2 linked regions of the Caenorhabditis elegans genome follow. The protein of the gene in region 1 purifies or fractionates together with the protein of each later gene. This does not show direct contact. Each region holds a gene or a part of one and is shown on either strand. Other genes may lie near its edges.

What was found.
Region 2: the proteins of tin-9.1 (region 1) and mrpl-53 fractionate together in Caenorhabditis elegans (co-fractionation; one large-scale study listed by BioGRID). This does not show direct contact.

Annotation. Positions count from the first base shown.
Region 1 is NC_003282.8:7,043,193-7,047,295, forward strand, and holds tin-9.1 (Mitochondrial import inner membrane translocase subunit Tim9), read right to left. Parts: upstream 1,411-4,103; coding exon 1,249-1,410; intron 1,046-1,248; coding exon 971-1,045; 3' UTR 866-970; downstream 1-865. Other genes in the region: klp-18 (Kinesin motor domain-containing protein), read left to right, coding at 1-105. UniProt on the Caenorhabditis elegans protein: Mitochondrial intermembrane chaperone that participates in the import and insertion of multi-pass transmembrane proteins into the mitochondrial inner membrane.
Region 2 is NC_003280.10:9,595,176-9,599,033, reverse strand, and holds mrpl-53 (Mitochondrial Ribosomal Protein, Large), read right to left. Parts: upstream 1,413-3,858; 5' UTR 1,410-1,412; coding exon 1,317-1,409; intron 1,270-1,316; coding exon 1,101-1,269; intron 1,054-1,100; coding exon 926-1,053; 3' UTR 833-925; downstream 1-832. Other genes in the region: Nuclear hormone receptor family member nhr-19, read left to right, coding at 1-29, 78-262, 494-559; E02H1.6 (Adenylate kinase isoenzyme 6 homolog), read right to left, coding at 1,645-1,759, 1,805-1,954, 2,001-2,167, 2,216-2,332; E02H1.5 (uncharacterized protein), read right to left, coding at 2,507-2,593, 2,936-3,058, 3,109-3,278, 3,332-3,430, 3,481-3,705, 3,750-3,807.

The sequences.
Region 1 (4,103 bases):
GAAACCATTTCTCAACTTCGCTCAGAGAATGATAAACTGAAGAAGATCATGAGAGGAGAATCGGCCAATAAGCCAGTGCTTCGCAGTCAGACCACAAAGCCATAGGACAAATCGTCTTAATTTATTTCTGTAAATATTAGCCCCCCCCCCCCCGCTTTCTTCCATATCGAATACTCACTTTATTTTTACCATTGTCAAAGATATTTTTTCTCCCCTCATATTATTTCAAGTTCTATTCCCCCTATTATCATTTTGACACTTATTTTAGTTAACTTGGAGTAAATTTTTAACTGCTCTAGTAAACAAAAACTACAACACTGCTTCTATTCAATTCTCAATATGGACTTACGGTTCACTTGTATTGGTTGGAGTAGAATTTTAGACATCTTTTTATCTTTTAAGCATAGTCTTCGATGATCACGGAATTTTAACAACGAATGGTTGATATTTATACAAAAGGCTTATTCCAGGGGTGCGCGGCAATTTCCGAAACCATGTTTTGATAACTCGATGCTCAATGAAATGGCGTTGGCTCACGAGCAGATTGGATTTGATGTTCATTAATTATGGAAATTAGATAGTTTTCAGATTAATAATTGATCTCTAAATAATATTTCCAAAAACTTTTCTTAAATGTGCTGTGTTTTGATTTCAAAAACTCAACGCATGTTTCCTCCCCGAGGACGAAACAGCAGAGTTCGTGAAACTGATCGCAGCTGGAGCTTCCAGAGCCCTGAATATTCTACTGAATTTTGTTAATTTTACCTCCGTTTTCCACCTTGCTGAAAATCTGAAAATATTATTTCGGTTCTTCTTCGTTTTTATTAATTTACAATTCCAAATACTCGAATAAAGCTACACTGTTGAATTGAAGTTATTATTTTATCTCGAATTTTCGAATCGAACCAACAAAAAACAACAATAATAGTGAAATCTACACTAAAAGGAGCAGGAATTCAAACAATAATCATCACATGGCGGCTCCGTTGGCTTGAGCGTTGAGAAGTTGATGCTCCTGGAATCGTTGAGAAACTCGTTGTGTCATCTGCAAAAAGGGAATATGACAATTTTCACCATCTGTCAAATATCTTTAATTTTTTTAGTTTTTTGGAAATTTGCAATTGTGAACAACTTTTGAGAAACCTTTTTTTACAATTTTTTTAATGCGCAATGAAAAAATTAATAGAATACTAGTTGAAAACGCTGCAGTCTTTATACTTTTTCAAGCTAAAAATATTCAGAAATTACCTTGAGAAACTTGTCAAGACAATTGTTGGCGCACGATTCTTCTTTTCCACTGACTGTTCGGCTTCCAAACTCGTTAACACACGAGTTGAAACACTGCTCAGCAACCAAATTGTATTGAGTGAGGAAGTCACGGAACGTCTGGATGTTCTGTTCGCTGGTCATCTTAAAATTGATTATTAATGCGAAAAAATAAATATAGAAACAAGTTATATCAAAATGCACAGAAAAAAATTAAAGTTGTGGAAATTCTAGATATTTTACCGGAAGAATTAAAAAAATGACGTAAAAGTGATGTTCTAGTTTGATTATTATGTCAAACGTTAAAGAATTTTACAAAGAAAACATTGTTTTTAATTAAAAATAAATTATATCGAACAAAGTTGGTTTAACGCTCTGAAAACGAAAAATTTAATCTTAAAAATCTCAATTAAACAAAAAGAAAATAACATTTTTTGTGCGCCAATGTCCTTTGCTGGCGCATTCCTTGATCGTTATCTGCGTCTCTTCAACTTCACACACATTTCGTGCTCTCAGGATTTTTAACAGGGAACATATTAAATAGCAATTCATGAAAATAAATCCAATTTCAAATCATATCACCCAGATGTAAAACGTTGTGATCTTTTCTTAAAACACAGCGTCCGGTCTCGACACGACAGATTTTTTAATGTGGGAAAATGTGTGTGCCATTAAGGGGTACTGTAGTTACCAACTTTTGGGTTTTGTGTAATTTATTTTGATTTCCCTGAAATTTATTGAAAGACTCATACATATATTTAAAACACGTGATTAAATAACAAAAAAATTTATTAATCGAAAAATCTAAGAAAATTCGGCTAAAATGAGGAGTGAGGAACTACTGTACCCCTTAAAGGCACGCACCCCTTTCACAGTTGAAAAGATCGATCGTGTCGAGACCGGGTACCGTATTTTCCGGCTATAATCTAAAACCATATCACATCTGAGTGTTATTTAAAAATCTTTATTTTCTAAGAGCCGCAAGAAATTTTTCAACTTACTTATTCCCGATTTCAGAATTAGTATAGTCTGAGCTCTCTTGGGAGCTCAATCCCTGCAGAATTGCTACCTTTGTCAGCATAATACATGCTTATTAGTCTTAATCTGATCAGTCTAGCACGAGAGGAAATATATGAATGTTGTCATGGAAATATGACATGAATAAAATATCATTCTGTACTCGAGCTCAATATAAGACTCAGTGATATTTTTTAAATGGTTTTCAGGTGACTTTCTGAAAAATCGTCATAAATCAGAAAGAGTTATCAATATGCGAAAGTTCTTATCTATGAGACATAATTCGTATCAACTACATAAAGTGCAAACCAAGATTACTGGCAATTCTAGACAGATTTATATATCCTTTTCCACATAATCATCCCATCTTTGCATTTGCTCTTTTGATTTCAATTCACACATCACAACATACAAGCAGCAGGTCTCAAATGAATTTCTGTCGACAAATATTAAAACGAGAAAGTCCAGTGGGGTGCTGAGCATGTTTCGTTGCTCACTCATTTCTTTGTTTCTCTATGTATCATCAACTCTTTTCGTCTGCACCTTTGAAAATCATGAATGCCAATAATGAAGATTCTACTTTTATTATTTTTTTTTCTTGTCAGGTTTTATTTTGTTTCTGAAGAATTGAAAACTTTTATAAGTAATTTTATACGCCAGTGGGGGGGGGGGGGGGGGGAATTTAAAATTACTCATATGCACCATGGTGCTAAAATTATAAAATATCAATTAAAAACGATTTTTAAACGTTGTTGGAAACATCGAATGACCGAAAAAATTCAGTTGCTAAGTTTTCACCTAATATGAAATACTTCAAAAAACGTTATTCTATGAGTTTTATATTTTAAATTTTTGTATTTAAAGTTTGTACATATTGTATTGCAGTTCAATTTTTTTCAAAAACTTGACAATTTACCAAAACGTTGACTGAGAGAATTTTGAAGATTCTTTTTTGATTTTTAATTTAGTTATTCTGTGTTATTAGCCCATTTTGACATTAGTGTTACTTCACCTTCATTTATAAACAAATTTACTTCACTAGTTTTTTGGAAATTAAAATTTGCTCAACTTGAACACTTCACAATAACCATTAAAAAATAGTTCAGTTCACCAAGAAGATAAGTTTTTTTTGAAAACATTGCGATAATTCCTTCCCAATAGTATTAAAACAGTGAAAACTAGAAGCCTAGAATTAAAATTTCTCTAAAATTTCTCTTAATAGCTCCTGAACTCGAACTTCATATTAAATACACAAAGTTTGGCTACATTGTAGTGTTTAATCTAGACGGGTGCCGCGTATCAACCCTTCATAACTGTGTCAATTATGAATTCTCTAGTTGTTTTGATGATCAAAGAAATTTCACGTTGAAAATGTTTCTTTGTTTCTCTAAATATCTATTACAGACTTACAGTTTTCTCACAATTGATAAAAAAACGCTTTGTTTGCAAGAAAGACAATTTTTGATTTTAGTTGATTCTTCGCCACATGAACTGAAAAGTTCAATTACTTTACCTAACTTACCAAACTCGAAATAATGAGAGTTTCGATTTGAAATTTGTTTAATTGTTTGAGCCCTTGCAATTCATGAAAGTTTTTCACTGTTTCATTGATGAAACGATGATCTTCTGTTCCCTATTTGATTTTTTCCAGTTTCTTCGAATACCGCAAAGAACGATCAATTTTCAATGACCATCTGTCTGAGTAAACTCTCCCCCACTCACATCTCAAAAGTTAATCCGTATTGTGTAGTCTATACATTATTCAGTGACTGACCAAAAAATTCATTCCGGTACATTCACTAGGTTGTTTCTAATCACAT
Region 2 (3,858 bases), on another chromosome or scaffold:
TGTGCTCTTCAATTGTGGATGCTCTTCTGGTGAGATTTCCAAGACATTTTCTAGAAAGTTGAAAATAATTCTTCCAGATTACTCTGAAATCACCGAAGCTTCTCGTCGCATTGTGCTAACTTTCCGTAATAAAGTTGTGTCAGCATTATTCGCTTATTATGAAAGTGTTGGACTGCAAAACTATGCAGAAAGGTTCGGGAATTTAGTTCTGATGCTGTCCGGAGTTTCATCGGCGGCATCATCAATGTTGGAGGCTTATCAAGTGAGTTTTCGATGAATTTAGAAAATATTATGTTTCAGTAAAAACATGTATAGAAAGTTAGCCTTGAAACAATGAGAAATGTACCAATTTTCCGGAAAAAAAGTGCCCGCCTTCTTTAAAGCGAGGCGCGGATTTTTCAAATTTTCATCAAATTCAAAAAAAAAAGATATCAATTGAAATATGTAGATATATTTCTTGAAAATTAAAGAATAATGTAATATAAATTTCCAGGTGATGCGTCTATTCAAAATCACACCATTCGATCCACTTTCCCAGGAACTTCTGTTCAATATCTGAAAATGTCTAAAAATTAGACTTCTCATAGCTTTTGTTTTGTTAAATTTTCCTCTTTCTATCTCCCAAATATCCCAGTGTAAATATCAAACTTGCTCAAAAATGATTCTTGCTCCGTGATCACACAACTCAAATACCTCGATTTCCAAAAGAATTTTTTAATTGTACATTTCCTCTCCCTCAACCAACCACACCTACGTATCACTTGTCACTCTTTCTTTACGGGTAGCGAATGTTATATTGATTGTTAATTAAATAACTAATTAAATTGAGAGAAAAAATGAAAGAATTTTATCTATTTCGAACTGTCAAATAACTACTAAAGGATACAAAAAAAACAATAAAAAGATAACAAGGAAGAAAAAACATTTAAATCTTCGCTCTCGGGCGGGTTCCAGCTTTTCCGAGTTCTGGTTGTCCAGTCAATCGATTGAAATTCATAATCACATCCATTGCAGTCATATTTTCAGTTGAAAAGTGCAATTTTTGACCGTCGTCTAAATTTTAAATATATATTTAATTGACCATTACTACCATAACTTACCAAGAGTCGCAACAAAAAATGGTGCTCGTCGATCATTCCGGATATCAGTTTTGACACGAACGTTTGGGTTGGTTAGGCGCACTTTTGGAGCCATTATCGAGTGCCAAAAGGTGCGAATTGATAGATTGTCGTGATGAAGTGGATCCAATGAGATATCGATTGATTTTACCTAAATAAAATTGTCACTTTTTTTACAATAAAAATGCAACTGTATACCTTTTGCAAATTGAGCGCTCTTGTAGCAAGTGCCAGCCTCTCCGCAGGATTCCATCGTACTCCATATCTGATTTTTGACCAAAGTTGACTCATTTTCTGAAACTCGTGTTATTAAAATCGTACATTAAAAAAATATATGAAAGGTAAAACTTGGCTGATAGACCATTATTTGATAATTGAAAACTAATTGTGCAAAAAATATATGTATTTGGATAGGGGAAAAAAATGAAATATGATGGAAATTCAAAAAAAAACAGGACGACAACAACAACAAAAACAAAAAAATGTAAGATTAAAGAGTGAAAACAATGAATTTCAAAATCCGAAATCACTGCTCCATGGTGTGCTCATTTTTGAACTCTCCGGCAAGTTCGCAGATTCTTTCCAAGTTTTCCTCCATTTGTTCAGTTGTTTCTGATTGAAGTTCATGGACGATGTCTTCACTGAAATAATTTTTGTTGAATTTCTGTAAATAAGAAAACACCAACCTATACGACTCTCTGGCTTCTTCCAAGAGAGTTCCAAAAATCTCGCATTCTACATTTTCTTTAATCTTGAATTCAGAATATCCACGAGATTGTAGACGATCATACAGTTTTTCTGTGGGGCATCGAAGAACTACGACCACGTCGAACCATCTGAAATCACGAACAATTAAACTCCTGTAGAACCCTCGAAACTCGCCTTTCTGGAAAAAGGTCACATCCGTGATAATCGACAACGATACCACCTTCATCACTGTCCAAACGATCTGAAATGTGATCCAAAAGCTTATCCTCGTCGAGAACGTGGCAGTTGTATTGCTCATCGAAATCTCCTTGCAAATTGTTTTCTCGAACTTCTTTGCTGACCTGGAAGAATTATAGGATCTTTAACTACTTAAAATTTCAAAATTTCACCTCAATAAATACAAATCCAAGCTTCTCAGCAACTTGTTGTCCGAGCGTTGATTTTCCAGTTCCGGGTGATCCAGTCACCAGGATATTCGGTCGTCGACGAGTTTCCGGTGTTGCCATGCTGATAAACTCATTCATTTTTTATCTGGAAAACAGGAGAGTGGTGAAATATGATAAGCTGTGAGTAAAACAGCAAGAACTGGAGGAAAACAATTTTAAGATTAAATTAATATTTTAATAAATTTACAGCGTGCTACAGAGACCCGAAAAAAAAAACAAAATTAAAGATTTTATTTATCTTCCGTATTGAACCTGCTTCAAGTCAGCTCGCTTTGACATGTCCATCGTCAAGTTTTGAATTTCCACAAGAGTTTCGTTGATCTGAAAACATGTAAGTGAAAACAATTGAAATATGCGACTGAGCCCGTCGGAAAGGGGTTGACCGGGGCGGAGCCACATATCTATGGTTGTCATGGATGCCTTTGATAAGCGTACAGAAAAGTAAAATATGAATGATCATTTGTTCTTGTAGGGAGCAAAGAGCAACTATCTTGAATTTGAATTTTTTTCAAAATTTAGTAACATCATTTATATTTTTAAAATTCAAAACTTCAAAGGCTTCAGCTAGACACCGCCATACATCAATCACATTCGATTTTTGAAAATATGGTTTCCTCCCAAAGAACACTTAATAAAAATACATTTTTGAAAAATTTTACTAACCATTCTGGAGACCACTCGCAATTGTCGTAAACAAATGAGACGAAGAAGACGAGCCGAAAAATGTACGGCTCCATTCTTTGGAGCTTGCATTCCAATTGGAAACGCGTTGATATTTAGAGTTTTCTGAAAGAAATTTTATTTTTAAAAAACCATTCGAAAAAAATCTCGGTTACCTTATTTTTCAATACTTCTTCAGTCTCTTCAGCAATCACATCATCTCCCAAATTTTCAGCAATATACAAACAAGCAGCTTTCATTAGAACTTTTGGATCGGGGTGATGAGCAGAAATGCCGAGAATTGAGCACAGAGCACGTGCATTTTCAGCAAAATTTGGTGAAGAATCTAAGAATGAGAATAATTAAATTTTATTTTTTAAAAAGGAATTTATGACTCACAATCAAGTCGGTTAAGTGGATTTTGGGAATCTCGATGTGCTTCGAGCACTTTTTCAGCTTGTTCTCTGAGCCGACTCGAGCAGAGTTCAGTGTCACCGCCTGGAAATACAGATATCGTGTATTTAAACGTATCACCTAATTTTGCAAACCTTTCTGTTCATAAATCTTTTGAACAGCAGCGTTCAAGACATAGTCAATCGCCGCCGCTCTGGAGCATCCAGACGGTGCACCAAACTCGGTAAAATATTTTTCAAGCTCCACAGTCCATTTAGCTACATCCTGCTCGTCAAGCATCTGAGCAGACCAATTTTGATCACGACACTTCAGATGGGCTTCTTCGACAGTGACGATTAGACGGCGAATCTCATTATCGTCTGGAATTTGGTTAATTATTGTAGAACAATTTCTGAAATACTACCATCGAAATTAATATAGTCACGATCGTATTCCACTGCTCTCAATTTTCTTCTGGACATTTTCTGAAAATCGTTTTGATTAAGCTTGTGAAAATCAGCTTCAAAAAATAT